Oreochromis niloticus: one gene and its partners. The protein of the gene in region 1 purifies or fractionates together with the protein of each later gene. This does not show direct contact. Links are inferred from orthologs where the notes say so. Each region holds a gene or a part of one and is shown in the gene's direction. Other genes may lie near its edges.

Evidence for each region.
Region 2: the proteins of nod2 (region 1) and ripk2 purify together in Homo sapiens (affinity purification with western blotting; 12 studies listed by BioGRID and IntAct, with this or other methods). This does not show direct contact. The link is inferred for Oreochromis niloticus from reciprocal best matches to the Homo sapiens genes NOD2 and RIPK2.
Region 3: the proteins of nod2 (region 1) and xiap purify together in Homo sapiens (affinity purification with western blotting; 3 studies listed by BioGRID and IntAct, with this or other methods). This does not show direct contact. The link is inferred for Oreochromis niloticus from reciprocal best matches to the Homo sapiens genes NOD2 and XIAP.

The regions. Positions count from the first base shown.
Region 1 is NC_031965.2:31,483,574-31,493,927, reverse strand, and holds the start of nod2 (nucleotide-binding oligomerization domain-containing protein 2), read left to right. Parts: upstream 1-6,227; 5' UTR 6,228-6,486; intron 6,487-6,783; 5' UTR 6,784-6,857; coding exon 6,858-7,343; intron 7,344-7,829; coding exon 7,830-7,956; intron 7,957-8,213; coding exon 8,214-9,984; intron 9,985-10,135; coding exon 10,136-10,219; intron 10,220-10,302; coding exon 10,303-10,354. UniProt on the Homo sapiens protein: Pattern recognition receptor (PRR) that detects bacterial peptidoglycan fragments and other danger signals and plays an important role in gastrointestinal immunity.
Region 2 is NC_031982.2:10,258,299-10,268,396, reverse strand, and holds the start of ripk2 (receptor-interacting serine/threonine-protein kinase 2), read left to right. Parts: upstream 1-5,431; 5' UTR 5,432-5,763; coding exon 5,764-5,957; intron 5,958-6,099; coding exon of another isoform or gene 6,100-6,161; exon of another isoform or gene 6,162-6,767; intron 6,768-6,776; coding exon 6,777-6,930; intron 6,931-7,484; coding exon 7,485-7,640; intron 7,641-8,436; coding exon 8,437-8,588; intron 8,589-9,135; coding exon 9,136-9,185; intron 9,186-9,265; coding exon 9,266-9,427; intron 9,428-9,532; coding exon 9,533-9,618; intron 9,619-10,098. Other genes in the region: sorting nexin-16, read right to left, coding at 1,013-1,094, 1,185-1,321, 1,418-1,487, 1,594-1,742, 2,389-2,475, 3,796-4,135, 6,100-6,161.
Region 3 is NC_031966.2:30,954,062-30,964,552, forward strand, and holds the start of xiap (E3 ubiquitin-protein ligase XIAP), read left to right. Parts: upstream 1-6,425; 5' UTR 6,426-6,582; intron 6,583-8,654; 5' UTR 8,655-8,703; coding exon 8,704-8,943; intron 8,944-9,052; coding exon 9,053-9,602; intron 9,603-9,717; coding exon 9,718-9,817; intron 9,818-9,974; coding exon 9,975-10,053; intron 10,054-10,491. Other genes in the region: psmd10 (26S proteasome non-ATPase regulatory subunit 10), read left to right, coding at 1-125, 3,871-4,037, 4,268-4,421.

The DNA.
Region 1 (10,354 bases):
AGTATATAAAAATACAACAAATGAAGGTTGTTAAAACTTGAAATTGCAGTGTCATTGCAGTGAGGGCTATCACCATTTCTCAGCTCATTTTTAGTTGACAAGCAGATCTAGATATGCTTTTCCACATGCAATGACTTCCCCTTTTTATTGCGCTCTCATTGTTCTTCTTCAACTGATTTATCATCCAGCCAAGCAAAATAAATATGTGGTCTTACATTTGCCACCTTTGTTCTTTTGCAGTTCTTTTTCTTTTTCTTTCTTTCTTTATTTATAAGCTCGTTAATACAGACGGACATTATTTTTTTTCATTTTACAGTGCTGCCCACTGTGCTTTTTATGAAACTCTTGCTTCTTCTGTTGAGCGCAATAATTGCCCTGCTGTTAAAAAAAGGCTTTGGATTCACTCACATGTGCTGGACTACTATCATGTGACTTCCAAAAAAAGCCATACTTGAAACAGATATGATTATATCATTATTCTTAGCTTGGCCGATATGGGCTTTGTGTCATATGACAATAGGAAATATAAGATTTTTTTCATTGTGAGATGCAATCCAGATGTCTAGTTTGCTAACAGTTTTTTTTAAACAACTAGCAACTTGTTATTGTCTGCAAGCAGTCATAGCAAAAATTATGCAAGGTGTCAGGCGATATCAGTATTGATTTCCATTAATACTAATTGGCAAGTTGTAATGAACTCTAGTTGTCCTTTTTTGGATGAGTAACTGCTGAGCTTATGAGGTGCTTCAAAAAGTCTGGCTGTTGGGTAAATTAAGATAAATTACAGTAAAGGATAGGAAAGTCTAACAACCAGATTCATTACATTTTCATCCACCTGAAAAGTTTTTTTTGTGCTGTGAAACCATAATGTTATAAATCAGTTATTATTATTATTATTGTTAATAGTAATAGTAGTAGCATTTTATTAATTGCTACAGTTACAATCAGGTCTTCTCTATCCTTGAATGAGAAAGATCTGACTTGCCATATGCTGTGCAAACTCGTGTGCTGATATGAGTTTAAAGTCCAGTTAATATAAATAGTCGATATAAATACGTGCAAGTGATGTAGAGGTACTGATGGATGGAAGGTCAGCTTCTGGTTTACACCATATATAGAAAGTCTGAGCATGTGGCACAGTGTCAGTTATACATACACTCTACTAACAGCAATTACAGTTAACAATTACCAAGAAAAGCAGCTTACAGAAGAAAATAAAGAGCTGCACTCTCTCAGCACTGCACATCATAGAGGTATTTAAGTGTGCTGTTGGCTAAGAGGATATTATTCAAAGTGACAGTTGCTTAGTGTAATTAAAGGTGAGGAGCTCAGCACAGTAGAGTATACTTCCTAATAGTGACACAGTGACTTTTCTAAACCTTGATTATTTTTTATGTTTAGTTTAATGTCATTACTGAGATAATAACCATGTGTGTGGTTATTCCATATTTAAGGCTATGAAGAGTCTGGTGATTGTCATGGAAAAAAAATCCACATTAGCTGGGACTATAATAGGATAAACAGCTGCTGTGAATGTGTACTGTGTTATATTTGAGTTGTTGGGAGACATGGGTTACAAGGAATGGTCTTTTTGGATAGAAATAAACCCCGTCTCTGTGATACCACTGGCAAGACGCAATGATATTGACTTAAATATGGGGAAATGAGAGGCTGCCATAATATGTCCTCTGTGCTTTGTTTCCAGCAGATAGGCAAAAAGCTTTGAAGTGTGGATTGGCACAGCAGGGTGCTAGCTTCTGTAAAGGGAAGATGCTAAACGCTAAAGGATGAGAAGGACATGAGGTAGTCTATTACCAATAAAGGAGCAAAGAGGGGGGAAAAGGCAAATCCAATGATAATGTACATCTGTTCCAGTGAATTTATGAGCTTTGAACATTTTTTCATGTGGGATAAGTGGATCCTTTTTCTTACAGAATCTCAGAACTTCAAAGCAGATTTGCTTTGGATAATGCAAATGATCGGAATATGCCGGTCCCAGCCTCCTCAAGAGCATGAAAAGAAAAAGGGGAAATAGAGAATTAAAGCTAATTGGCATGGCAGTCTTTTATGTGTCTAAAGAAGGGCAAAAATAAAACACTTCAATTATTGTCAAGTTCATTCAATTAGGAAACAAGCTGACAAAGTGTTAAAGTTCAGTGTGACTGACCCAGAACTCATTTTCATTAAATGCCACTTTTCATTTTGGACAATTCCTTTGTTATAGCTGATGAAATCATAATTAGAAGGATTTAATTCACCCTATAATTACTAAGATGGCAATGACTTTGTTTAGCTCTGGTGCTGTGGTGGCTCGTATATAGGACTGAAAGTTATTTTTCCACTAGTCCAATATTTTCCACTTCTTATATATCATACCTCCAGAACAATGTGAGCATTTTAAGCAAACACAATCTGTTTATTAAGTTACTATTATGTTATTTAGTATTGGGTATAAAAAAAAATAAAACATCAACAAACAAGGATCACAGTTTAATTATGTCTTGTATATTCTGATCCCTATGTTTTTTTAAAACTTGGTCAAATGAATGGTAAGTAAAGAACAATACATCCTTTATTTTTCCTTTGCAAGGTAAAAGAGATTGTGAGGCTATACAGTGAGTCCATTTTTGAAAAGCTAAAATAGATTGTTTTGCATCTACAGGAATCTATAGTATGCATGAGAGGTTTAATTTAGGAAGAGGATCCAGGATATGGATATGTAGCCTGATCTTTGCAGTTTCACTGCATGAACTGATGTAATAACGCAGAGAGCAAAGTTTGGCCATTTTACATACATTTATATCCAAACTCAGTCTTTATCAGCTTTAACTTATGAATTAAATAGCTCACCATAAGATATAAACCCCGCCACAACAACATAAAAGGCAGCAGCGTGTTCCTTTTCAGTACATTCTGCAAATTGCACTGTCCAACTTTTTCAAAGTCCAAATCTGCTGTCTGGACTTCCAGAGGCTGACTCCAGACTTCTCGAGATAGCAAATGAATAAAACAAGGCTCCAGAAAGTTGCATTGGTTTTTAGTAGATCATTGGAGCTCTTTCTTTTTGCAACATCAAAGGCAGACGCAGCTCTTTGATGTGGCAGCATGCTGTTTAAGGTACAGACTGAATGGAGAGGTGTCAAGCTGCAAGGTGCCTCTGTAGTTTACGTTGAGTGCTGCAGAGAGCTGCAGATGAAAGGCGCAAACAGAGTTTGATAATGAATGTCCAACAAGTAGGACCCATCTCAGACAGCGCACACTCAGCAGGGTGCTTGCGCTAACCTTGAGCGCAGCACCCTAAACCTCGGGCAGATGCCGGAGACCAGACTCCTTCAACTTGGCTGCTCCTGCAAAAAGGGAGCTCTCAGATGTGAGCTTTAATCTTCCTGTCAATTAAATCCTGATTGACACACACACCCATACACACATCATCATGGACACATGCTCCTTTTAACCAGTCAGCTCTGAAAGCGACGCCATCCACTTCCTCTGCTGAATACTTGTCTTTCTGGCTTGAAGAGGCTATTTCTAATTATACATAAATCCTTCCAATATAAAAGGCATTTTTTGTCTTATATCCATGCATGCTGCAGTAGTTGTCCTCCAACTTTAACTTTATAAACTGAATGAGGTAATTCACTCAGCCATTCTCTCAGTGGAAAGCAATATTACAGCATGTCAATATACCATACACTCAGCTTTTTAACCTGCAATACCACAGATAATATGGCTGCCTTGTTTTTTTAGTTTGCAACCTGTTAAAATAAAGGTTTTACTGCTTGTGTAAACAAGCATACTGGGAAGAATGCTTTTTTTTGCATCACTGGTTTGGAGTTCTCTGTATTTTTATTAAAACATCTCTAATATTCCATCTTATTTATGTTTCCTATTATGCTTAGGAGTTATGGGAACTGATCTCTGAAACAACTATTCAAATTTTAATTATAAAAGAGATATGACTGTTTTTCAAAGTCTTTTTGACAAAGTGCCACTATAATTTTACTAACCTGCTAAGGAAGCACTATCTGATACAAACACATAAACTGTTAGCTGATTGAATTTAAGTCAATACATGTAGTTTTTAACAATAATGCAAATCGGTGTGCTCATGTTTGTGGTGTCATTGTACCGAATTTCCCTGACAGTGATCAATTACAGCTTCTGATTATTTGACTGTTTGATTTTGTCATATCATGTTATGTTATTTTTTTTTTGCAATATAGTTCTTTCAAAGTTCACTACATATGTTCTAAAAACAAGCACACTTTGTGTAACTGTAAGACTACACTAAAATGAGACATGACGGCTTGCTTCTGGGAGTTCTGAATCTCTGGTAAAGCAATCAGTACACAAACAGCCCATCAGTGCACCTGGCTTAACACTGAGCTCACAACATGTGCTTTTGATATCTGCACAGAAAGAATGCACAGTGATAAAATGGCTGCAGCCAAAGTATTCCATCTCTGTTACGAGAGTGAGAAGGATCCAGCCCTGAGCTGCACTCTTACTCATAGACATACAGTTTAAAGCTGATTTACTGGATGAGGTTATTTAGTGCTGGGTGGATCAAGACTTAACATTCATGTCCAATAAAGTCCAAGATAGGGATTAGATCCTGTGGTTCAAGGGTAATTTGATGTAATTTGCGATTTCAGGCTTGTCATGAAAAATAAATAAATAAATAACATACACAAACACACACACACACACATACAGAGGAAGACAGCCAGAGTGATAGATGTAGCTATACTGAATGATAGCGACATCAGGAAGAAAGAACATGTGAAGCTGAAGAAGTACCAAGTGCTAAGAGAAGAACTCAAGAAGATGTGGAGGATGAAGGCAACAGTAGTCTTAGTGGCAATCCCAGCATTTGGTGGCATGACCACCAAGCTAGGTGAGTGGCTCCAGCAGATCCCAGGAACAACATCTCTGTCCAGAAGAGCGCAGTCCCAGGAACAGCTATGATACTGCGCAGGACCATCAAGCTCCCAGGCCTCTGGTAGAGGACCTGTGCTCGAAGGATAAAGACTGCCCAAGGAGATTTTTTTTTATATATATAGAGTTGTCTTTAAAGTGATTGAGCAACAAAACTGTTCCTAATAATATAAAAATAATAATAATAATGAAGAATATTATATAGCCCAAACAAATGAAGTGGAGTTACATATTTTTCCTGCAATAAAAAAAGTGTTTGGAACTGTCTCCAAACAGAGCACAGAAATACAGCTATGTCTTTTGGGACCGTGTGTGTATTTTATTTTTTTATTTTCGACATTTTTTTTACCCTTTTTCTTATGTGTTGAAACTTCTCTCGACCCCCTGCTGTGATTTGGATAACAGAACTCCACCTTAAAGCTTCAAGTAAGATGCCTGACAGAGAGCACTCTGCATTACACTCCCCTTGGTGGAGTTGCCTGTTTTCAGACAAGAAGAACAAGAAAAAGAAGAAGAGAAACTCCCGTTTGAAAGTTTTACTCCAGTTTGTCTTTGATTACTCCTGCCCTTGAGTGTTTGAGGATTTTCTCGAACAGGGCACAGCGAACACACACAATAAGCTAATCATGTTACTCAGGAGGGAGCTGTAATAATGAAAATGATAAATATATGACTGCCCGAAAAGCCACTCTCGCACCTATTTTATCTCAGCTTCAAAGAATGCAGAGGGAGTAAGGAGCATTATGTGCGGTTTTAGGGTTGGGTTTTTTTGAAGTTTAGATCAGATGCACAGCATGACGCCTAGACTGCAGGTTCTCAGTTTCTGTTCTAACATTGTAAAACTGATACCGTAGCAAAATGATTCCCTACAACCTCTTTATGAATCTGCTGGGGTTTTCTGCTTGATTTCTAATTAAACCGCAGTATCTTGTGCCCACAGACACAGTTAGAGCTCTGATTGAATTGATTCGAAGAAGACAGCTTTAGTGATACTAAAAGAAACTGTTAAAAGTGGAAAATCTCTGCCGACACCATGTTGTTTTCTTATGCAATAGTTCCATCAAGTGGTTACAACACCAAACTGCGACGAGGATGGAAATACCTAGGACCCGTAAAAGTTTCCGTCACTTTCTTTAAAAAAAGAAAGAAAAAAAACCCACCCAAAATTACCCTTTCTATTCAACCTTCTGCATTTTTAAAAGCTGCAGTTCCTCTTTGTGGTCTGAAGTATGCAGTATCTTGCAAACAAGACAAGAGGATGTGGAAGTCTCAGTGAAATATAAGCGCTTGAGTGTGGCAAGCTATATTTAACCACCCTTAAATATCAAGTCACCATTGTTTGCTCTGTTTGGAAAACACCAGGGAAGTTGAGCATTGCGTCTATGCCACATCTCCGCCTGTATTTAGTTTCCATATTATGGGAGGGACTTGGAAGCAGAGCAAGTTTCACTTTCAGCTGCAGAACAGGGAAGCGGTAGGACCCTATAATTCTACAGCGGCTCTGTTCGTATGACAGAGGGAGGAAAGAAAGCCATGTTCCCATTAAATGTAAGTGTTCTTTTTTGTGGTTTTATTTTGTGTTACTTGCGTCTGCAATTGAGGTCGCGTAGTCGACTATTCTGTACTTGTACATGTTTTAAAGGGACCTGCAACACATTTGATGTGTATGTAATGGTAGCCATATATTCTTTTCATTCTGTTTTAACTTTTTGTTATGGCTTAACAGAAAGACGCACAAAATGACATGTACTGCTGTATGGTATTCAAAACAGAGTTAGAAAAGAAAGAAGGAAGCTCTAGTTGGCCCATAGTAACATGATGACATTTGGCCATTTGCTGTGACAGGTTTTCACACCACAAGAAGCAGAAGTAACCACAAACTGAATGTCCCTGAGCATGGGCACTGATATGGACAAAGAATGCTTGCCGAGGAACTAGTGCTTAAACAAAGGACGAAGATACTGCATGCACTGTGCAGCAGTGGGTCAGCAGAACATCTGGAGAGAGTTCTGGATATACTGCTTGCCAAGGGGGCGCTCATATGGGAGGACTACCAGAACATACAGGTACCAGGAAGAACACTATATACCAATGCAAGACAGCTGCTTGATCTGGTCTATACAAAGGGTGTGGACACATGTGGGCTCTTTCTAGCTGCTCTCAAACTGGCCTTGCCTGAAGCACAGGCAGTGGGGCTCTCCTTCTCTGAATCCTGCTCAAATCTACAAGAAAACGATGAATGTCAGAGCACTTCTAATCAAACTCTTCTGGCTCAACGACCAAGCCTTGTCCACAAGCTTCAGGGCTGTGTTGATGGTGTTCTAGCAGCTCTGCTGGATTCAGGTCACTTTTCTTCAGCTGATTGTGATGAAGTGCGGTTACCTATATATACTCCCACCCAACAGGTACTGTAAGCACCTGAACGTCACATTGTTAAAATGTGGTTTGACAACTTTATACAGTTGTTCTTTACCTTTAAACTGTCTTGGAATGAAGCTTGTCATTATTTCTGCATTCCTGATACTTAGATGTCATACAGGCAGACGTGCTGGGGTATTTTTGTTACTTTTTGTGTTACTTTATCAGTCAATACTATTACTTTAAATAGATCTGATACTATTCTGATATTCCTGAGTAATTATACAAGTAATATAAAATAATACAAAGAAAACTGGTAAACATATCTTGCTGCCTTTGTATAGATCCAGGCAAGGTTTTTACCACTTGCTGCCTGTCTTTGTGCTAAGCTAAGCAAGGTAAAGCTCTTTCTGCTGTTGCATTATTAGATTATGAATATGTAAGTTGGTCTTTTATCTAACTCCGCAACAATCCAAATAACTGTCAAAAATAAACTTTTTATTATTTTCATCCATGTCCATGTGATCAATCAGGCAAGGCGTCTGCTTGACCATGTCAGATCCAGAGGTGATTTAGCAGCATCGGTTCTCCTGCAGTACATTCATCAAAAACAAGAACCTGGATTGCCACTTAACCAGAGGGAACTGACTCCTCCCAAAGGTCTGTTACTGTCAAAAGCAATGTTTAAAATCGCAGAAATATATATCGTTTTTATGAGTAAAGCTATCCTTGATCACCCTCATAGGAAAAATGCCCCAAATACAGAAGGTTTCTGGTTATGCTTTGAAAATACAAAATTGGCAGGCATGCCAAGATCAGTTATGCATGTTCCAGATTTGACCAAAGATATACAGGATGTATGAAATGATGACTGGTTCACTCATTCCATCTTTTCTTCACAAATTTTTCTTTCACAGAGTTTTTAAAGTACCAGAAGAAGCTGAGCAGTTCTGTGTCTGCTCAAGCCTGCTTTCTCAGTACTTATGCGGGAACTAGCCATATGTCTCTCGATGACATTTACACTGATGGCCAGCTGGAACTAGCCGAAGTTAATGCCCATGGACCTTTGGGATTGGAAGACATCGTTGGTTTGGTGGGTATAGTGAATGAGGAGGCAGACACAGTGCTAGTATCCGGGGAGGCAGGCAGTGGAAAAAGCACCCTTCTCCAGAGGCTGCACTTGCTTTGGGCTCGAGGGGTAGCCCTTCAAGACTTTCTCCTTCTATTTCCATTCAGCTGTCGCAGGTTGAATTCAGAGCACAATGAACTGTCAGTCCAGGAGTTGTTGTTTCAGCACTGCTGCTGGCCAGACCGGAACCAAGAAGAAATTTTCCAGTTCATCTTGGACCACCCACATCAAATCCTGTTCACTTTTGATGGCCTGGATGAGCTCAAGCAGAGCTTTACAGATGAGCACAGAGTTTGCTGCCCCACCCAGCGTGCACCTGTTCATGTATTATTGTTCAACTTAATCCAGGGTTCCCTCATGAAGGGGGTGCAGAAAGTGGTCACTAGCCGTTCAGAAGCAGTGAGCCCATTGTTAAAGAAGCACCTACGCAAAGAGGTTGTCCTGAAAGGGTTTTCCCCAACTGGGATTGACAGTTTTGTACGGAAACATCACAGGGACCCTACTGTAGCTGCTAAGGTTTTAGAGTCAATGCAGGCGAACACAGCTTTACTTGGACTATGTCACAGTCCAGTTCTCTGCTGGATAGTTTCACAGTGCCATAAGGAGCTGCTGGGCTGTGGAGAAGGCAGCCCCAAAACAATTACAGATGTTTACCTGATGATCTTACAGCACTTTCTCCAGCACCAAAGTCCTCTGAAGAGCACCATGGGTTTAGGCTGGCTACAGGAGCACCTAAAAACAGTCCTTCTTCTTGGACAGCTTGCTTTTGAGGGGATAACATCCACCTGTTATATTTTTTCAGGTACAGACCTAGAAGCATGCGGTGTAACTGAAAAGGATATCTGCATGGTTTTTCTGATAAAAAGCAAAGATATGTCCTCTACTCACTCCAAATGCTATGAATTCAGTCATGTGACATTGCAATGTTTCTTTGCTGCTCTCTTCATTGTTTTGTCAAGTAACACTAACCGTTCAGTTATCCCAAAACTCTTTGAGCTAGAGAACAGGGAGACAGGTCTGACACGTGTCTGCTTTACAGCCTGCTTGCCTTCCAGTGATCAACAACAGCAAGCTTCAGAGAAGGAAAGTAAAGCAGCAGAGACACCAAATCTGCAAATCACAGCCATGTTTGTGTCTGGACTATTGTCCCAGCGCCATCAAAATCTGTGGCTCCACTGCTGCCCCAGTGCTGCAGTGGAGAAAAAGGCCAGACAGGTGGCAAGATGCCTTTCCAAAGGCATTCAGAAACACTTTAGGTCCATTCCCCAACCTGTACAAGGGGAAAAGAAGAGCATGCATGCAATGCCGGACTTTGTGTGGCTTATAAAATGCCTCTATGAGATGCAGGAGAGTCGGATAGCTAAAGATGCTATGAGCAAGCTGGAGGTGGACCATTTGAAATTGACATACTGTAATATCGGACCTGTAGAGTGCACGGCGCTTGCTTATGTGCTCCAGCACTTAAGAAATCCTGTAGGCCTCCAGCTGGACAACAACTCTGTGGGTGATGTTGGAGTGGAACAGCTTCTTCCCTGCATGCACATTTGCAATTCCCTTTAGTAAGTGGAAATTATACATTTTTCTTTTGTTAAATTTCCTTGGTTAATAGATTGAACGCCAATTCATTAGAGTGAACAAACTCTCCCTAACTGCTTTCACTGTAAGAGAGGAACAACTTTTATTCTGAAATGCATATTGTTCCTTCCTTAGCCTCAGAAATAACAACATTACAGATGAGGGCATCCGCAAACTGATTGCTAAAGTCATCCAGTGTGACAGCTTTCAGAAAATTGCGTATGTATTATCAAGGTGATTAATACTGCAAGTTAAATAAAATTTTATCAGTTAATTTTCAAAATCTTTTTGTTTCTTTCCAGGCTCTTCAACAACAAATTAACTGATGCTTGCATGCAGGATTTTTCTTATTTA
Region 2 (10,098 bases), on another chromosome or scaffold:
TCATTATTATTATTATTAATTTGCTTCCTGGTTGTTTTTTATACAACCCACTCACATTCAGTCGAATGTTTTCATTGTACAAATCTAATAATTATGCACCAACCTGCTCACAGCGGCAGCATAAAAGTAGCCTTCACGACCTCGGAGAAGCCACACGTAACTGGGATTTATTCAGCGACTCAAACAGAATGAGTGAAAGGAAACAACATGGCCATTCAGTGTGATAATGGGGGCGCATGAATGAGGCTTTACGTGGATGGATGTCACACACACACACATTCACACAGGCTTCTTTCATTGATTGCGAGCTGTTATTCACCACTCAAGAGGAAAACATCTCTCCCCTGCTTTTGTGCTTCTCTGCACTTAAATCTTACAGAGATGTCCCCGTGCGAGATAAGAACAGAACATCAAGTTCCCAGTCTCCTTCTCATTCAGACGTTTACTTTCTCAAACTGTTATTGTATTACAGTGCCCCCTTGTGGTCATTTTGCTTTCTCATATTTCCTATGCTTCAAAAAGAGCTTGTGTACACTAAAATTCAAGATCAGTGAAACATTGTCATTGAAATGAATTGAATACGTTACTTAGAAATAAAAAAAAATAAATAGTATTAGAATCTATTGGATTTTTTCCCTCATTAGGCAGCATAATATGTGGTATATACACATTATGGGACTTCTATGTGCTTGGTATTTTGAGGTAGTTCTCTTAGTGACATCTTGAAAAGAATCAAATAAACATATGCATGGAGGGTTAGATTAAACTGCATCCAAAGATTGTTTTGGCACTGCGGTGGTCACATTATAGACTTTCTTGTGGACTTGGGTTTAAGAGGAACCAGCAGGATGTCTGATGACCACTTGCACATGTCACTGTCACCTAGAGAAGAAAATACAGAAAACATTATTCATCATTAACATTGGTACATTAAAAAAACAGTGTTAGGTGACTGAGATTAGATTTGTTGGTTCAATATGTTATTTACAGTTTGTTTCTTTGTCCGTGTCAGTCACTGCATGTCCTCTGTGTCACTGTCTGTGGGGGTGGTGATTGTTGAAGCTTCAAAGCTCTCAGCAGAAAGTGACATGGATCTGCGTGAGACGGGGGAAATGAACAGTTTCAGCACAGCGTACAGCTCCTGCTTCACTGTGTTTCCAGCTGTGCAACAGAAACATAATTACTTGGCTTCTTTTAGCAGCAGGTTGAGACGGTTCTCTCTCTCCTCCAAAGTCTTCTTCAGCCTGTCGGCTTCTCCCTGCTTGTCCGCGAGTTCACTCTGAAGACGAAGGTGAGTTTCCTCGAGACTCTCGCAAAAGGCCTGCACGCCACACAGTAGACAGAGGGTGTTTGAGCTACACAACTTTCTTCACATTCAGCCCCTGAGACAATATCTTTGAGAGCAACGTGTCCTCACCCTGCTTTCCTCCAGGCTGTCAAACGGACTCGGTGCTTCAACCAAACACAGAAAGCATCTTGCAGCTTCACTGAGGAACCAAAGGGTTTTATGTACAGGTCAAAGTTAAACACAGTTCAGGTCACCCACTAGAGTAGTACTGAAAAAAAAGTCACAACACATGCACACACACACACCTTCTAAAGACTTCTTTGTGTAATACTAGGTTCTCCAAAAAGGTCTGCAGTCCAGCCTTCCTCCCTTCTAGAAACTCCTCGTCATAGTTGTTTTTGAGCCAGCGCTTAGGAGGCAGGGCTGGATGAAAGCTGGGGAAAAGCTCTTGAAGCTGCGTCAAGGCGACGAGCAAAAAGGGCAAAAACGGGAAAGCAGAATCACTATGGCAACAATATTACATCAATGAGAGCCGAAAGCGTCGCTGAATCACGGTGCCACAAATGGAAGAACAGTTGCAGCGAGGTCTGCATGTGTATCGGACAAATGCATGAGGTAAAATGTCACTTTATAGGTTTTTCATTAGTCTGACTAATTTATTTTATGGGGGTGAGTTTGATAGCTTCACAGTATCACTCCACCTACAGCATACACCTGTAGGGGGAGTGCTGGTTCTATCCCTGTCATTTAATAGACTGGCTGCGAGCTGAACAGTCGCTGTGTTGTTCTTAACTCAAGTTATATTCTCCCCGATTCAGGGGTGCAACATGTGTGCCCAACAAACAGAGCGTACCGAACAAATCAGGCAGCAGATTGTTGTAGCCCTCAAACTATCCTTTAACTGCATGTGGAAAAAAGTTGTTGGTTAAGATTGAACGAGCAAAGTAATAGTCACTGATACTCAAGTGCTGAAGCATTTGCCGTATATAATCTACCCCCTCAAGCCTCTCCGGGCTCCTCACGGCACGTCATTTCACCACCATGTGTGTATAGGCTGCTTCACTAATATGTAGCTGCTGAGGTGCACGATATCTTCTCACCTTGTCACTGAGCCTGCAGAAGTCTGTGTATCTTCTGAAGATCACCCAGCTGTCTCCCTGACTCCCCGTCACCAGGATTTTATAAACCTACAGAACACAGACGACTATATGACAAATAACAGACACATGTATTGGTTTGCACTGAGTGCCTTAGCAAGTTGACACTGTATGCGTGTGCATTTCAGGCGCGCATAAGAGCAAGAGCAGTAGGATAGTACAACATGTATAAGGAACTGTAAATGCATCCTTTAAAAACAGCTGTAATGTCAATAAGATGATCTGTAATAAAGCGTTTATAACACATTAAGAAAGTCTGGCTGGCATATTTCACCCCTCTTCTCACAACAAACTGTAAACTGCAATATTATTCCTGTCAGTGTTTTTCAGATCTTCTTAGAGTGAGTGGATTCGTCTTGCTGTCTGAGTGTACGTCAGCATAAAACTGAATGAGATGTCATTAAAAGCATGCTTTCAGAAAGCAAAGCTGCTCAGGCAGCTGCATGCATATTATAAAATTAATCCTGAATCATTGATGACAAGTTCTTTATTTAGAAAGCCAACAGATGCTCTCTCTTACTAGTTGTTTTATTTCTTCAGTCTCTGATGACGACTTTCATCCATGGTGCTAAGACAAAACCACGTCAGTCCAGCGTGGAATTCCCAAAGGCAGAGCGCCAACACAAAACTCTGGTAGCTGACAAATCTCGAATGAACCAATTTAGACATGGCCTTATTTGGCCATGTCTGTTAGAATGGCCAAATAAGGCCATTCATGCTAAAACAATCAGAGGATTGTTTTATTTTTTGTTCCAGCCTTTTCTTTCTCTTTTGCTAGACAAGTTTTAAAATGATATGAGTTCCTCTGGTTCCACAGTGTAACGGTTTGCACATCTGCATAAACTGACTGATCCTGAAAGAAGATGCAAATCCCATATCCGATAAAAAGAAAATGTTCCAAACATGTGGCGTGGCCTGCTTTGAATAAGGCAGCGTGTTCAACTGACACCATCAGCATCAGCAATTACAACTTTTGGAATTCACCCATTTTTTGCCCACTCAGCTAAATCCTTTCCAAAAAACAAATATTGTGTGACATTTAGCCAACAGTGATGTTATTTATAAAAGTAAAAATCCAACAAGCTTTTATTGCAGGCTTTTAAGGTCCTGCCCTTGTTAACACAGTTTGTTCCTGGCTCTCTTGACTTGAACATGTGACTTTTACTTGTTTTATTATGCAGCTAACACACTCACATATAAGATATATATGTAAAAATGTGCTAACTTAAAAATACATTGAAAATGATTGCACAATTTTGGAAACCCCTAAATATGAGATCCTTTTTTTTCTTTGGTTTTTCTTTTTCTTTCTTTTGCAGGAAAAGAAGAGCCCTCCCTTTAAATCCCTACCGTGAACTTTGCCCTCTCCTCCATGATCTCGTGGCCGAGCAGTGTCGGAGTGATGGGTCTCTCCATCCAGCTCTCCCCATAGCTCATTTCACTTCTGTGCTGTCTGGATGGCCCATCTGTCAGGCCTCCTCTTGGTCTCCCACAAGTCTCATCTACAGTAGGATCTACAGTGGGACCATCTCCTCTGCTTTCAGGAGGTGAGTGCTCACAGTTTGCAGATGAAGAGTCGATACGTATGGGAGAAGCTCTTTTGAAACAAGACCTGCTCACGCTGACCCAGTCCACTGGAAAAGGTACTGGAGTAAATGGAATAGCCATCTGTGGTGGTCTTAGTGACGTACTGCGAACAAGGACACATGGTGAATTAGAATAAACACAGGGGGAACCACATGGACATGCACAGAGAGCATGGTAGTGTACTTACAGCGGATCAGTGCAAACACTTCCAGTGAGTCAGAGCGGGTGAAGGAACTACAGCACAGGGTTTTCTAGAATCAAGCTTTGTTTCCCACCTGATCTGTGCAGGGATTGTCGCACTCCATACTCTTGCTGGCTCATCAAAAACACAAGGCAGTTTGTATGACATCCACGTAAGCAGTATCATAGTACCTGATTTGTTGAAAGCCTGTTCTTGGTTTCAGATTACAGAGGGACACAGAGTCATGTGCTTTATGGTGTGTCTCATCCAACAGCACAAAAAGGGCGCATCCTGTTTCAGTAAATCACAACAACGCACTTGTAAAAGGTGGGGCCAGGTTTCACAATGAGCTCACCCGAAACCCTGGCTGATTAGGACCCCCACCCGCTTTCACACCTTGGCTCATGTGATTAGGTAGAGGATCATCAGGGGGTCCTTTGTCCCTCTTTGGGGGGGAAACTCCCACTGGGTTTAAATCTGGGACTCCCCACCAATTGACCCTTAGAACTGAAGAAGCTTCTCGGATGAGAGGTGAAACGTCTTCAAGCAACTCAAAGAAGTCCAGACGCTTTTCTTTCCAAGCTCCTTAGACGTCAAATTTAATACAAAAAATACCTATAATTTCAATAAATTAACACTAACTGTGACTTACCAAAAGGCCCAATTATCACATGAACTCAAATTTGGAGCGATCAAAGAATAAACACCTTAAAAATCAATAAAAATAATAAAGTTTATCGATACATCTAAAAATCTGCTATCAGGATGTCTAAAATAACACTGGAAAACTAAAATCTATACTGCTACTGAAAAGAGAAAGTGCTACTTATGATCACGTGACACGAACATCGGATTTTGACATGTCTTTAGCGTCGACACATCTGTAGGAAAACCCCTGTTTTTGGGGGGGGATTCCCGCTGCTAAAAATCCCAATATTACCAATTGGGTTCATGCCGCAGGAGGCGGATCTTTGTTTCAGCGAAACTGAAACTAAAGTTGAGTTAAAGGCTCATTTATGATTTATGGTATTTTAACAGCGTGCCTCCTCAGTGTTTTTCCTAGACTTACCTCGCTGTTATCCATATTTGTACTGGGATTCTGAATGCGCTCAGAGGGCTGCTTGGAAAACGGGGTCAACTGTCTGAAGTTCTCCAAACCTACACTCGTGAACGCATCTCGTAAAAACCGGAAGCGTGTCGTCATTAGCAACAACAAACGCACCTGCTTAAATGAGCGCGGAGCTCAGCTGCGCTCTTCTTGTTGTTGTTTCGCTTTGGGTCCTGCGCGCATTTAACTGTAGTCGCTGGGTGAAGGACAGCTGTTGCCGGTCAGCGGATTCGCTGTTTATCGGCTGCTCTGTTTTTCTGCTCTCCTCTGCAACATTAATGTTAGCTTAGCATGCTAGCAGTCGGCTACGTTGTGGCATGCATGTGAATGGGAGCGCAGTTCCTCTTTACGTTTATACCAAAAGAGGTAGTTCTGCCTTTATTGGCCAAACCCGTGGGAGATAAATCCTCAGAGACTTCGCGTAAGGGATTCAGAAACTGCTATGGAGCCAACTGCGGGCTGTTTGGATATCGGCAGCCTGACCAGCACCTTGCCGGTGATCCCCCAGAATAAACTGACGGACCTGTACTACCTGAGCGGAGGGGGCTTCGGCACCGTGTTCAAGGGGAAGCACTCCGACTGGAGGACCACTGTGGCCGTCAAGTGCCTGAAGCTCGACTCTCCAGTTATAGAAAGGTACTCAGCACCGAGCAGACAACTTCACGTAACAAGGTCTAGGTCACGGAGACACATTTGAGCCATTTATAGATGAATTGCACTAGTACAGAAAAACTTTGTGCTGTTTCAGGATGATGCAATAAAGTCAGCCTGTACTTACTCCACAGTAACAGCTGCAGCACTTGACCTAATTTGAGTCAAATGTGAGGCCTTCCTGTACATTTCAATGAAATGTGTTCAGAGTGCTCGAGCAGGTTTTTCATTCCTCTGGCAGGAAAAAGGCTAAAGAGTCTGTGGCTTACGTGTCCAGTGACTTACAGCTGGAGGGCTAGTTTGCTCAGACTGGCACAAATCTGAACTGAGGGATATTTTTCTTTTTTTTAAATCCTACACTCATTCTTTATTTCTGGAGGCATGCAAATATACCACTCTGTTATAAAATTAAGTCCACCTTTTAATGTGAAATTCTTAAGCTTGTTTCACAAAACTCAGTGTATCCCAACAACAGTGAACCAGCCCAACTGGATTTCAGACAAATGTCCAGACATCATGACTCAGTTTGGTGTTTATTGGTCACCTAGTAATGGGTCATTCTACTCAGATCCACACATCTAAAACATTTCTGCCCAAATTCACAAGTGAGAATTTCTCAGATTCCTGCGTGTAACATCTTTACTCCTCTGTGTAATCAAGAGTTTCAGCAGGATTGTATTCTGCATTTTTGGTCTGCGTGTCTAAAAGGATTTTATCTGAAATATTCCTTTACCTCACTATCACAAAAGTGCTGTCAGTGTTATTTTGTTTTTGTTATTTATTCTGTGTCTGGCTGTGTTTCAGAGAGAGGAACTGCCTGCTGAAGGAGGCCGAGGTACTCCACAAAGCCAGGTTCAACTACATCATCCAGATCTTTGGGGTCTGCAATGAGCCTCGTATCTTTTGCATAGTCACGGAGTTCATGAGCAATGGATCTCTGGACCGGTTACTCCACGAGGTAACTCATCAAGTTCACTTCCTATCTCTAGGAACTCTTCTAGTCTGAGCAATACATCCTTAAACAAACCATTTAGATTGCCACTGAGTGGCACCAGTTTTCCCTGGTTTAAATAGTTACCTGTGAGAGTCGCCCAGACTACACACTGAACAAAATAAAGGTTTTATAGTTGTTGCATTTGGATTTTTGTTGCCAAAAGAGGTCAGCTGAGGGAGTTGCATTGGTCTGTTGTTTTTCTCTCTTGTGCATCACTCATCATGTGAGTGTATGACTCTGTTTCCTGTCAGTGAGACTGTAAACAAAAGCGAAAGCTCGAAGTAATTAGTATCTGATGAAACCTAAAAGAAAGTAGGGAAAGACAAGCCGAGCATTGAGGGAAGCAGACAGCTATGCACAAGGGAAATTCCCACTGGCCTGAGTGTAGTAATTTTTTCAGTCTTTATTTCAAGCTCTTGCATTGTTTTGTACTTTCACTGTAGTAAAACCCACATTTCCCACTTTTATTTATACATTTATTATGTCTTTAGCCCATCTTTGTAATCTCTGCCTTACAGAAGGACCTGTACCCCGTTCTTGCCTGGCCTTTGCGTTTGAGGATTCTGTATGAGATCGCCCTTGGGGTTAACTTCCTTCACAACATGAACCCACCCCTCGTACATCACGACCTAAAGACCCAAAACATTCTGCTGGATGGTGAATTTCATGTTAAGGTATGCGTCAAGTATGAGGTGCGCGCAGAACAGGAAAATCTATTACATCACCTTACCCATGTCAGTGTGTTTGTTGGAGCTGTAACAAAGGTTACAGCTGCTTAGGTGGTCACAGTTATAGTCACATGTATTGTGTATGTTACCAGAGTAACTGAGACATAGGGTATGTGCTGCTTATCCACTATGTACTGCTGATCTACTACTCTTTATGAAATGTACCATTTTTTTTATTAGCATAAAAAGTATATATAAAGGTTGTTACCAATTGTTACCAGGTTGTTCAAACTGATTTCTTTTTCTTTCATGGCCTAATTAAAGTGGACATATTATACTCATATCAACTCCATATTTAAGTTTTTTGACCGTAAAACAAACTCCTCTCCTTTAAACTTTCTTCTGATTGGCTGCCCCTCACAAACAGAAGGTTTAAACAACAGGTGGGTGGTGCTAGTCTGCTGACACTCAACGCTGTGTGCCTAATATGAGCACATAAAGATAATACAGTATCAGTGAGAGGGGATAGAGATAACAGTAGAAGGGGGGGGAAAAACCTCTCTGAAACTGACTATTTAGGGCAGTGTGAGTATCCACCATTGTAACAGGAATTAAGAAAGGCATAGTAACTTCCCCTTAAAGATCTGATATTATAGAAAAGGCTGTCCTCCTGCTGCAGTTATCAACCTTATTTGGCTTTTTGTCACGAATTAATTTAAGACTCACAAAATGTAGAACTGTGGCTTTGTATAACTTGGTCTGTCTGCGGTTCACGTCTTGCTAACTTTCTGCTTCTCTCCAGATTGCAGACTTTGGCCTATCGAAGTGGCGACAGCTGTCAGTGAGTAGAGGCTCAGGGTCCAAGCCTGCTGAGGGTACAGTGATCTACATGCCCCCTGAGGAGTACGAACCATCCAAGAGCCGTCGGGCCGACGTGAAGCACGATATGTACAGGTAAGGCACCAGAACCCAGTAACTATTATGTAGAAGTGAGTCTGAAAATGTACATTCTTCCCTGAAAATGTAGCAGAAAAATCTCGATGACTTAACTGTGTTACTATAAACTCTGATAACTTCCGTGTTTGTTGAGCACAATAAGCATTTAAGGGAAATGAGGCTTTCCTTCCTGTAAAGGTGAAACGGAGTTCCTGCCTCAGATTGCATTGTTTGCATACCACTGCAGGGCCCAGGGTCGGAGGCTAAATCAGTCATGCCAGACAAAAAGTCAGACATAACTGTCGAGATCCACGAGTCTGTCAGAAAAGCAATTCTGATTATTTTTCACCTTTAATAAGAGAACTCTACTTTTCTCTGATGCAGTCTTTGTAAATTTTGCGCAAGAGGTTACACTTGCTGCAACGGGTTAATCAGTCATGGCTTTGAGAGTCATCCCTGAAGCTGGCTTGTTTTAAAGTCCCTCAGCTATGAGGGGAAATGCCAATATCTGGCAACTTAGTAACTCTTCCTTTAACTGTTTTCCTCTTTGATATTTGGATTGTAGCTATGCCATCATCATGTGGGAGGTGCTGTCTAGGCAGATCCCGTTTAAAGGTAACTGCTCGTTTTTCATGTCATACTTTGTTCCTTCTTTACCCTTTTTGAGTCACTAATATGTGTGTGTTTATGTTCAGAGGTGACCAATGGCATTCAGATCATGTTCAGTGTGCTGCGCGGGCTGCGTCCTGACACCAGCCTGGAGAGCCTGTCCGCAGACATCCCCAGCAGAGAAACGCTCATCAATCTTATGACAGCCGGCTGGAACGCTAATCCAGATGAGCGGCCTTCCTTCCAAAGTATGCTCATACTAATGACTGAAGTGCGCACTGCTAATGTGACTGTAGTTCTGTGTTACATCTTTGGCAGGATTTAGCAGTGTGATGCGTTTCCTACCATTTCAGATTGTTTGATAGAGCTGGAGCCTATGGTGAGGGTGTTTGACGAAATAGAGTTCCTGGAGGCTGTGCTGCAGATCAAAAAGAAAAAGGTCAGTTTTTATATTTCTTCTTTATGTACCTGTAGGGAAATCTTTGTAGCACTTTTTTTTTCTTTTGAAAACTACTTTTGATTTATTTCAAAATTAAATTTGCATTTCCTCTGATGCACAAAGAGTGTATTATGGGATGGTATCGCATGTCTGTCTGTCAGCATGCGCTCAGGTGTGTCAGCTTACAGTAAGAGAAATCTGGTGAAACTAGTTTGAGACAGACTGTGGCTCAGAGTATGACTTTAGTTTCATGATGATGTCTCACAGCCATGCATATGAAAAATAAATGCACAGGCTTTGATGCAGCTATAGCTACAGTGACAACTGCATTTGTTTCCATTAGTGTAACAGTGACTTCATTCAGCGTGTGTGTGTGTGTGTGTGTGGCTATAAACTGTTGATGGCCAGATTTTTACAGCTAGTAATAACCACTAAATGCATCACCTAAAGTGTTATAAAATCTTTCCTTTCCTTAGTAAT
Region 3 (10,491 bases), on another chromosome or scaffold:
TTGCAGCATCTGCAGGCAGAGAAGACATCGTGAGATCTCTGATATCCAAAGGAGCTCAGCTCAACTCAGTTAATCAAAATGGATGCACCCCTCTGCACTATGCAGCCTCCAAAGACAGATATGAGGTAACATCCACAGGTCGCAGTATTAGTACTCCATACTTCTGCAGTCAGTTAATACAGTTGTGTTATCTTTTCCTTTAGTTCAGTGGTGCTTTGTTCCCGCACATAATTAATTATATAGTGTTGTGCAAAAGAGTTTGGACATTTGTCTGCTTTTTCCACTTATCTTCAGTCCAGTTCTTATACCTCACCATTTTCAGAGGAGTGTTTTTTCCACATAAGCACTATACACTAACCTATGAATCATTCAAACAAACAAAAAAAGGCACCTAACTCAAGAGATGAGCCAGTGTTGGCTGCACATAACAGACAAATTAGCAAAGAACCAATTTTAAATTGTATCTTTAGACACTTTGTTACTAGCAGCTTGTCATGAAAACACAATTCGTTCCCATTTCTTTAGTTAAATCTACAATAATGCCAGAGATAAAAAAGATTGACAGGCATAAAATGTCTTGTACGCCGAAAACATGGCAAACCTCACCACGGTGTGCAGTATGTCCTTTAAAAGAAAGTGAGGAAAGTGGACAAGTGGAAGACAAAAGAAGTGGCAGGCAATCTACAACAAATGCAACAACATATTTAAGTCATGTTCTCAAAAAATAGGAAAAATCAAGGAAAGACCTGACATACAACCTGAGAAGATGCATCTCGCACTTCTGTTGACCCATCTTCTGTTCACTGAAGCCTCAGAAATGGTCTCAGCTGAAGGGTGGCTGTCAAGAAGCCATTCTTAAGGAAGGAAAATAGGGACAAAAGGCTGAAGTATGACAAATTACACAAGAACTGGACTGAAATCGGTGGCAACACATCTGATGGAGTTATGAATTCAAATGTGAAATTATTGGTTCGAATTGTTGTCAGTGGTGTAGCTCAGGGGAGAGGTACCGCTGTGAGTGTCTTCTAGTGATGGGCAAAGCGCAGCTGTGTGAAGTAGTTATACATATGAAGCATTTGTGCCAGGACTGTACTGAGGTTACAAAACAATTTCCACAGTGACACCCACTGGCCACTTTTACTATTGTCATGTCTTGATGATGTCTACTCTGTGAACACAGAACAAACGTGTTTTCCACAGTTCTAAGCAAAGCTATATGTTATACCAGGCTAACAATAATTATGACCAGTGCATGATTTGGAGAAATCCTCATACACCAAAGCCAGAAAAACTTTGAGACTGATAAAGCGTGTCTCACGCATGTACACACGTGTTAATATATTAAAGACTCGGCATTTAGTTATTTATTTTTATTTTTATTTTTTATACAAATTACCTCCTCAGCCTTGGAAAAACTACAACCAAACAATACACTTCTTGTGGGTATATATTGGTTTTAAGTTTTTTTTGTTTTGTTTTGTTTTGTTCTTTTTACTTTTTTCCAAGATGTAAAAGTTTGAATAAACAGCACATCATTCCTCCAAATACATTAGTGCATCATGTGCCCTTAGAACAAATGCATCAGTGAAGTATGTATCTTTTGACTTCTACAGTGCCATCAGTAATTATACTGTGAATACTGTGGGTGACACTAAACCTGGCTGTGGTTGCTGTTGCCACTCCTGGTGTTGCTGATGACTCTTAAGCTTTTTTACCCACAACCTTAAAAGCCTGATAGGGTATTTTCAGATTTCTACTATAGGCATAAAGGGGTAGAACTGGTGCCTGCTGGTATTTTCATAGTTTGCAATGTCATCAGTTTTTGTTCTACACTTAGACACAGTGGGTAAGCCACTCAAAGCTGAAGTGAAACACACCAAGACTTCAGTCAGCTGTGGTCATGTGATCTGAGCTAACGTGTCCTAAGCATTTTGAAAAAAGATAATTATGAAAAGTAGGACTTTTCAGGGCCCAGTTTACCTGACATTAGTACAATAACACTGGCTCTCAATATAGTAATAATCATTAGGAATAATCACATATTAATTCAAATTAATCGTTTATCTGTTGCTGTTCTTTTTTTTTTTTTTTTTTTTTCAAATTTGCTCCCCGCCCCTCTCCTGTAATATGCTACAGGTGGGGTGCTGAATGGTGGGTTACACCGGTGGGTTTCTTGTTCTCTACACAAGCTCTACTAGTGCGTCACACTAACTGAGTATTGACACAAATATATAAAGTACAACAGAACACAGGAAAGGGGGATAAATGAAAAACAAATGTATGCACTCGAATAGAGTAAGCATGGCAGGAGGCCGGCTTGAGACAGGGGCATCCATGGGGGAGGCAGGTGTTGGACCCTACAGCATGCCTTTATTCTGTGGCTTGCCTTTGCTGGAATGTCTAAAAGCCCTCCTCTTCTTATTAGGATCATTTTCATTACATTTTTTTCTTTCTCTCCCATATAGAATGACTAATGTATTACCTTTGTTTGCTGCTTTTACTTTCCTCACACCAAGATAAACAGCAATGCCATCACCTACACTCACAACTGTCTTGTTGTTTCTTGTTATCTTTTTTTTTTTCTTATTTCCCTTATCTTTCTCCCATGGTTTGTACTGGCTTTGCATTCCTGTGGATTCGGAATCTCATTACCCCTATGTTACCACCCCTTTATTATCGCTGCACCCTATACACACAGGGCTTGGCTTATGAGTAACCACTCTCTGTCACCTATTAGTCAAGCCCTGTACACGCAACAGGCTATTAAATTCTTGAAACATGTTCTCATCCAGGGTACCAGGATTCGATTGTGCCTTTTTGTCTTTTCTTAGATGAGCATAAAGTTTTCTCTTTAGAATGAAACTTGTAGATATGAGCTTTACTACGTTTAAGGAAACCCCGTAGGAATAAGTAAAATATAAATATGGGTTGTTTATACTTCTCAAATGTAAAAAAAACAAAACAAAACAGCTTATATTTAAGAATAAACTTGTTGTGCTGAATATTTGTCTCCCCCTTGCGGCATATAGAGGTATTACAAAGATACCGTCAACACGCGCTTGTAATGTGTTCCCACTGTGTTCACTGTTTGCTGTACAGTTTTCATTTGGACTGTAACCTTTCCTCTGGACATGCAATGAAGTTTTATTTATGTACTTGTTTTTATCTGGAGTATTAGAAGGTTTTCCTGAATATTTCTTATTTGTTCTGAACCATCATCACCAATACATCAATACATCCCCTCTTGCTCTCCGAGAAGGATCTCTTGGATATAAAAAAGGCTGATTTGTCAGCTTTATTTAAAAAAAATACAACAAATCATTACCTGCAGCTTTATTTTTATGATAACAAGAATGTTTTTTCAGTATAACTGATAATAATATAACAATATAAGAACAGAGCAATCTCAAATATTGTGACATTGTTGTAGCATGTATGCTGCCTATACCTATATCATTGCTAAGTTTACAAAGATTTAATAAAGACCTATGTATATATGGGAGACTTGAGGTGGTGGGAAATGGGGTCCAAGCAACACACTGCAACAATCAAGATGCATTTTTTTGTTAGATCAGATGTGCATATAAAAGATCGTGAAACTGAATTTTTTCATCGTCTTCTCTCACAAGGACTTGCACATGACATGAATGGATTTCATTTGACATTTACGGGGTTTTATTTCAACCACAGTTTTTTTTCCAGTCAGGATTGTCCTAACTTTCAGTCTCACTTCCTAACGTGAAACTTCCACATGACTGTGGTAACCAAAATGACGAGATCCGAAAACGGGTATTTCACAGAAACTAGAAATAACTGGATGTAAAAGTGTGGTGTTCAGCTTATGAATGAAACATCGTTACCTCTTTGCAGATTGCCCTGCTGCTGTTGGAAAATGGAGCAGACCCCAATGCTACTGACAAGCTGGACTCTACGCCTCTTCACAGAGCATCTGCCAAGGGCAACTACCGGCTCATCCAGCTGCTTCTCAAACAGAGTGCATCAACAAATATTCAGGACTCACAGGGCAACACACCTCTGTATGCTTACATATATGTCAAATGCAACTTTTTTTAATATCATGCAATATGAATACAAAGATAAACTCTAATTATACCTAAATAGAAAATGTTTTCTTACTTACCCTAGCAGTACTAGAAGTTATCATCCACATTACTTTAGCTATACAGTGTGACTAGCATTAGGGAGGGGGAAAAGGCATTTCTGTATTTACAGCTATGCATTGATTTTTATTTTTTTCTTCTCCCAGCCATCTTGCATGCGATGAAGAGCGTGTTGAAGCAGCCAAGTTGCTGGTGGAACATGGAGCGAGCATTTACATTGAGAACAAGGAGGAGAAGACCCCGCTCCAGATAGCAAAGGGCAGTCTTGGGAACATACTCCGTCGGATCGTGGAGGGATGATGCTTTGTCTGACCGACACGTCTTGTTCCAGCTTAAATCCCCACCACCAACCGCCAAGTTACATTCTAAGATTTCCCATCCCGCTCAGTCCTCCTTAAGCGGTGCGGTGTGGAAGATGAGATGATGGACTCAGATGGTGCTTTGAGACTGCACAGATCTTATTTGTTGGATCAGAAACCCAGTCTGAGCACAGGTTTTCAAACCCTACAGGCTATTTTCTATTAAATTTGAATTGTCAATGTAAAACATGAAGTTCAGTCTGTTAATAAATGTGTTGTTCGTGAATGACATACTGCTGTCTTTAGTAATTTAATTTTTTGGACTTCTCAGGTTTCAGATTAACTGAATAACAAATAAAGTTGTGCAGCTTCATTGTTTTTAAGATAAATCTTAAATAATGCGTATCTTTGAATATAGCATGTCAACCTGAAAACTAACCCAGCCACAACAGATATTTAAATCCTGTAGTAGTCATATGCCATATATGTTATGTTATTTATAGTACTGCCAACACAAGGAACAGTGAGTGGAAAACAGAAGTGACCAGGTTTTCCCTATTGACGTAGTGCTGCAAAGCCTTTGTTTCTTGTTCCCTGTTCCACATGTTGAGATTACGGCCCACATTTTTATTGGCGCTAGTTTTCAGCCTTCTTTTCTATAGTCTGCCTTTTACTCAATGGCTGTGACGGAAGCAGCAAAGGGTGTCTACACAGGTAATTAATTGTCCACACTGAAGTGGAAAATTGTCCCCACAAACCCACAAGCTATGCAGGTTTTTGTGGAACTACCACAAAGGGAAATAAATCTAGAATAAACATGAAACTAGTGGGAAGGGAACTCTTACTTGTAAGTCTCACATGAAACTTGGCTCAAAAGAAATGGATAAGTTGATGGAAGCCAAATAATTGTTGGAGAAAACTGAAACAACAGTAAATAATAGTTTTAAAGGACAAAAAGAAGAATACATGAAAGTGAAAAGACTGTCACGTAACAAAAATATCAAGTTTTAGCACATGCTAAAAGATTCTCAGTGTTAGGAATAGGTCCAATGTTGTTCCACGTTGAGTTTGTGGGGATCTGGCCAGCCTATAAATTGAGGATGCTTCAAATTGCCTAAAAATAAATGAATAGTTTTAGGTATTTTTAGGATGGCCATGGAGAGCAACAATACTCAGTAGGCTGTGCCATTTAAATTATTTTCCTTTGGTATTAAGAGGCCAAAAGTGTGCCATTTCAGCATCATCAGCAGCTGCTTGGACCACTGATAAAAGCCAGGCTGGATCCACTATCTTATCTTGTTTAATCCAAATGTACAAACATGTTCTCAGCTGACAAGGAGTGCCATCAGGTGTAGTCTACTGCTGAGTCTCATCTACCTCAAAGTTCATTGTGTGTTCAATACATTACAAAGAACAACATACCGAGGTGTGGCGTTCATACCAGAGTATGCGCTTCTTCATACCTTGCGTGTACCTTCTTAGCAGCTTGAAACAATCTGTGTAGAGAACTGGCATTCATTGAATAGTTTTTCTTCTTTTTTGTTTATTTATTTATTAAATACCAGTATTGCAGGAAAATCCTAGTAGATTAGCAGTTTATGATCAGATTTGCCCATCTTGCACCAGCAGCCGTGTTTAAATCACCCTTCTTCCCCATTCTGATGCTCAGTTTGAGGTCGTTTTTACCATTTCTGCCATTTTCCTAAGTGCATTGACTTGCTGCCCTGTGACTGGCGGATTAGATAGGAGATACATTTAAATTAAACAGCGTAGCTGACAGCTGAAATGCAACCAAATCAGAAAACGGACTACAAATGTAGCTTGTTGGCTTATAAACATAGCTCTCCTAAGCCATTTTGAGCGAAAAAAACCCCCCATTCTGATCAGAACGTAGAAGCTGCATTTTTAAATGCAAGATGACTCTTATATAAGTAATCCAGGTTAAAAAAAATAATTAACATCAAAAATTTCTTTTTCCAAGATATCTGGGCAAACACAGATATTGCTGGAAAACCACCAGGCCACAACCCTTTCCTGACGTCACCTGATTAGGTGGTTTTCACTTCCTGACAGGGAGGTCACAAAAGACTTCACCGGAGTCTCCTTTCCGAGGTGTTCACACTCTACACTGACTGGAGAAAACAGAGGAGCTGTGTTGAAAGGTAAACATTTAAAATGTTATTATATTCGATATGTCACTGTGTGACCTAGCTAGCGTTGCGTAAAAAGGCTAAGCTAATGTAGCTACCAAGCACTCTGAAGCTAGCATTCGCGATTCCGCTTACGAGCCTAGCAGTACAGATCAAAAGCACAGGTCAGAGTCCAAGATTGTCGTCTTGGGTGTTTACATTTTACATATAAAAGCACCTTTAGGTAACTGTATTGACTAATTTCTAACTGAACGAAAACACGGTGTGGGTTTAGCGAGGTCTTTGCTGTCATCAGCGCTGTTGCTCTCGGCGTTTCCCAGAAACAGTACGGCGTCTGTGTCGCTTTCAACTGAAGCAAAGCTGTGAGGCCTTTGTGGAATTTGCTGGGGGGTCAAATCGTCGCCAATCTGATCATTAATACATACTAAAAGCAACACGTGGAACTGCTAATGGGGAAAACTCCCCTGTCGCTTACTTTCGGTTAGATGTCGTGCGCAGTCAAAAAGTGAGTATTTTAATGCGTGGGACGATGCAGTCTTGGCTCAAGTTAAAAAAAAATAAATAAATAAAGGGATGACGCTGGCGATTGATTTACTTGAAATAATGCAGACACGTAAAGACAGTTCAAAGATCGCATCCCATCAATACAGCAACGGATCAGCTGATAAACAGCTGTTTAAGCAACTGACCCAGCACGCAGTCACCGATTAAACGGTTGTTTAATCGGCGACTGTGTGCTGTCGTTGGATGATAAGTCCATTTTGCGTCAAGCTGTGACACTGAATGACGCTGAGGAATGTGAAGATTCTGAAATCATAGTTTCACGCAGAAAAGCATTGAGTTATGTTACAGCAATGCGAAGGCGTTAACAAGTCAAACCCTTAACATAAGAGGCAGTAAGGCGTGCTTCTCATGATGTGTTGCTACATGATTTACTTGTTGGTAATGCACAAGGTGAGCTCCTAAATTAAATTACCACACCTCTCTACTGCTTCAGCAGTAATACTGATGTGTTATTTTGTGGCTTGTGCTTTAAACTGCTGCATATCATCCTTAGGTTGCTCTCTTTCCTCATATTCTGCATTGCAAGGATGTCAAACTCATTTTTCTTCTAAGGCCACATACAAGCTAACTTTAGACCTCAAACCCAGTGAAACTGCCCTTACTCTCAGCCTTAAGAAGTTTAACTGCAAAATCTCATCCTTGAGGTATCAAAGAAGGGTGATTTCAACAGTACTTCTCAAATTTTCTTCAGGCCATAGAAACACTGCTGCAGTAGATTTAAAAAACAAAAAACAAAATCTGTCAGCACAGCTCTCCAGGGTTAAATTGTAAGGGATAAATGCATAAACTTTCAGAAGTTCTGGCAGCTCATTTCTCAGACTGTACTGTAATTGTAAAGGAGAAAGTTTCTGTTAATTCACAGAAAATGCTTGCCTCCTCTCTTTAAAAAACAAAACAAAACTCTGGAGACCTTTTGAAAAGAAAAAACAGACATTATTATTATTATTATTATTATTATTATTATTATTATTATTATTGTAGACAGAAAAAACAGGAACTATTCTGTCATTTAATTGTTTATCTATTACTTAATTACTTTGGTGTATTATGAATGGGGAGGTCTCTGTCAATAGGAAAAGCAGTAAAACTACAGTCAAAAGCCCAAAATATATTCCTTCTTTCACATTTTCCAAAGCTGTCCGGCGAGCTGAATTGGAGCCTTTGCCAGGCTGTTTCTGGCCCCTGGGCCTTTTGTTTGAGGTCTCTGCTGCATTGTATCTTCAAGCGGTATAACCTTTTACGTGGTTTAATATGCACTGTGTTTGTAGACAAACCTGCCTCTCCAGTGCCCATCCCTCACATGGAACATTCAGTTCCTGCATGTGATAACAGGCTGGCATTCTCTTAAAGGTACAGAGACCCTGCAGATGTGCAGATTGGCTCTCTGGCGCCAGACATGGAAATGCGGGAATTTAACCACTGAAGTGTCTGTTTACAAACAAACAAGCAAATGAGGACACTGTACCGTTTAAACAAAAACCAAAAACCAACAAACATATTCTGTTTCTTTCTATTTGCAGATCATCTGTCCATCAAGTTAACAAATCCCTACAGCTTCCTGTTTCAATCATGTGTGATGTAAGTGAAGATGGCGTTTGGGAGACGGACAATGCGCCTGATTTTTCCTCGTTGAAAAGACGCATAGACTCATTCCGTGGCTCCAACCTTGCTAACAAGGTGCCTGCGGAAACACTGGCACAGGCTGGTTTCTTCTACACCGGCGAGTCTGACCGTGTCCGCTGTTTCAGCTGTAATATGACTGTGGATAATTGGTACAGAGGAGACAGACCTGTAGACAAGCACATGCAGGTAATCAAACTTGTAACATGAAAAAGTCGAAGTGGTTAATATTTCACTTTTTTTTGTCTGTTTGGTTTTCTTCCACATTGATCCAATTCTACTTTTCTCATTCTCACAGTTTTCTCCATCATGCATGTTTCTTACCTGCGTCCACCGTACCAGTTTTAACCAGAATTCCAATACTGCAGTAATCAGTGAAGAAGTAGGAGACATGGAATATCGTTTGAGAACAGGAGAAGTGGTTGATGAGGCCACCTACCCTATATTTCCTCACATGAGAAATGAAGAAGCCCGACTTCGGACCTTCTCTTCTTGGCCCAACAGTGCTCCGGTGAGACCCAGAGATCTGGCCCAAGCCGGTTTCTTTTACGTGGGGCAGGGTGACAAGGTTCAGTGTTTCTGCTGTGGTGGTCGGCTGAATGGGTGGGAACCAGGAGATACTGCCTGGAGTGAGCACAGCAAGCATTATCCCAACTGCTACTTTATCCTTGGGCATGACGTCAGGAACATCCCAATCCAGACAGGTGTAGAGGAGGATGCCAGCAACAATCAGCGTGCAAATGACCCAGCCTCAATGCAGAGTTTTGAGGCAAGGCGTGCTAGTTTTGCTGGTGTCTGGCACCCTGTTGACCACGAGAGGCTTGCCAGAGCTGGCTTCTATAGCACAGGTAGTGTTCAGGTGTTTAAGACTAAAGAAACATTGTGCAACATTTTAAACTGTATGATTGAAATTTTCTAGTAGGTAGCTGTGAATGCAATCAAATGTAATTTGTATCCTTGCAGGAAGAGGAGACGCAGTCTTGTGTTTCCAGTGCGGTGGAGGCTTGAACAATTGGCAGCCTGAGGAAGACCCTTGGGTGGAGCATGCCAAACACTACCCAGGGTAAGAACGACTATGCTCCCTCTTCTTAATATGCTTTTACACACACACACACACACACACACACACACACACACACACACACACACACACACACTTTGTTCTTTGTTCTGTGGCATTTGTGTCTGTTTTAATCAAAGTACATGCTGTTTTAAAACAGGTGCAGCTTCCTTTTGGCAAACAAAGGGCCAGAATTTGTCAACAGCATCCACCTACAAAGACCACAACATGACAGAGCTGTAAGTATTTGCTTTTTCCACAAGTTGTGGATGCGTAAACTACAAATTAAGATTCACTTGGAGCATGGTCAATATCAACACTATTGGTCTGGTGTATGTGCCCAAATGAAAAGTTGAACAGTGCTGAAAATCTTACGGCTAGTTTAGAAAGGCTTTCATCATGGATTGCAAAGCAGGAAGGCTCACATTGTTCTTCACAGACAATCACTAACTTGTTTTGGAAATGTGCCATACTTTATGTGTATAAATGGGTGTATATGAATATTTGTATTTTAATTTTCTACACCTGAAAAATCATCAGTAGTCCCAGATTGGGCTCTAGTTAAAATAAGCTTAGTTAGTGTTCAATTTCAGCATGTGAAAGGTGCGTCATAATTCAAGGACTTAAAGGTGCGTCATAATTCAAGGACTTACAGTCTTCAGTGATCTCAATCACAG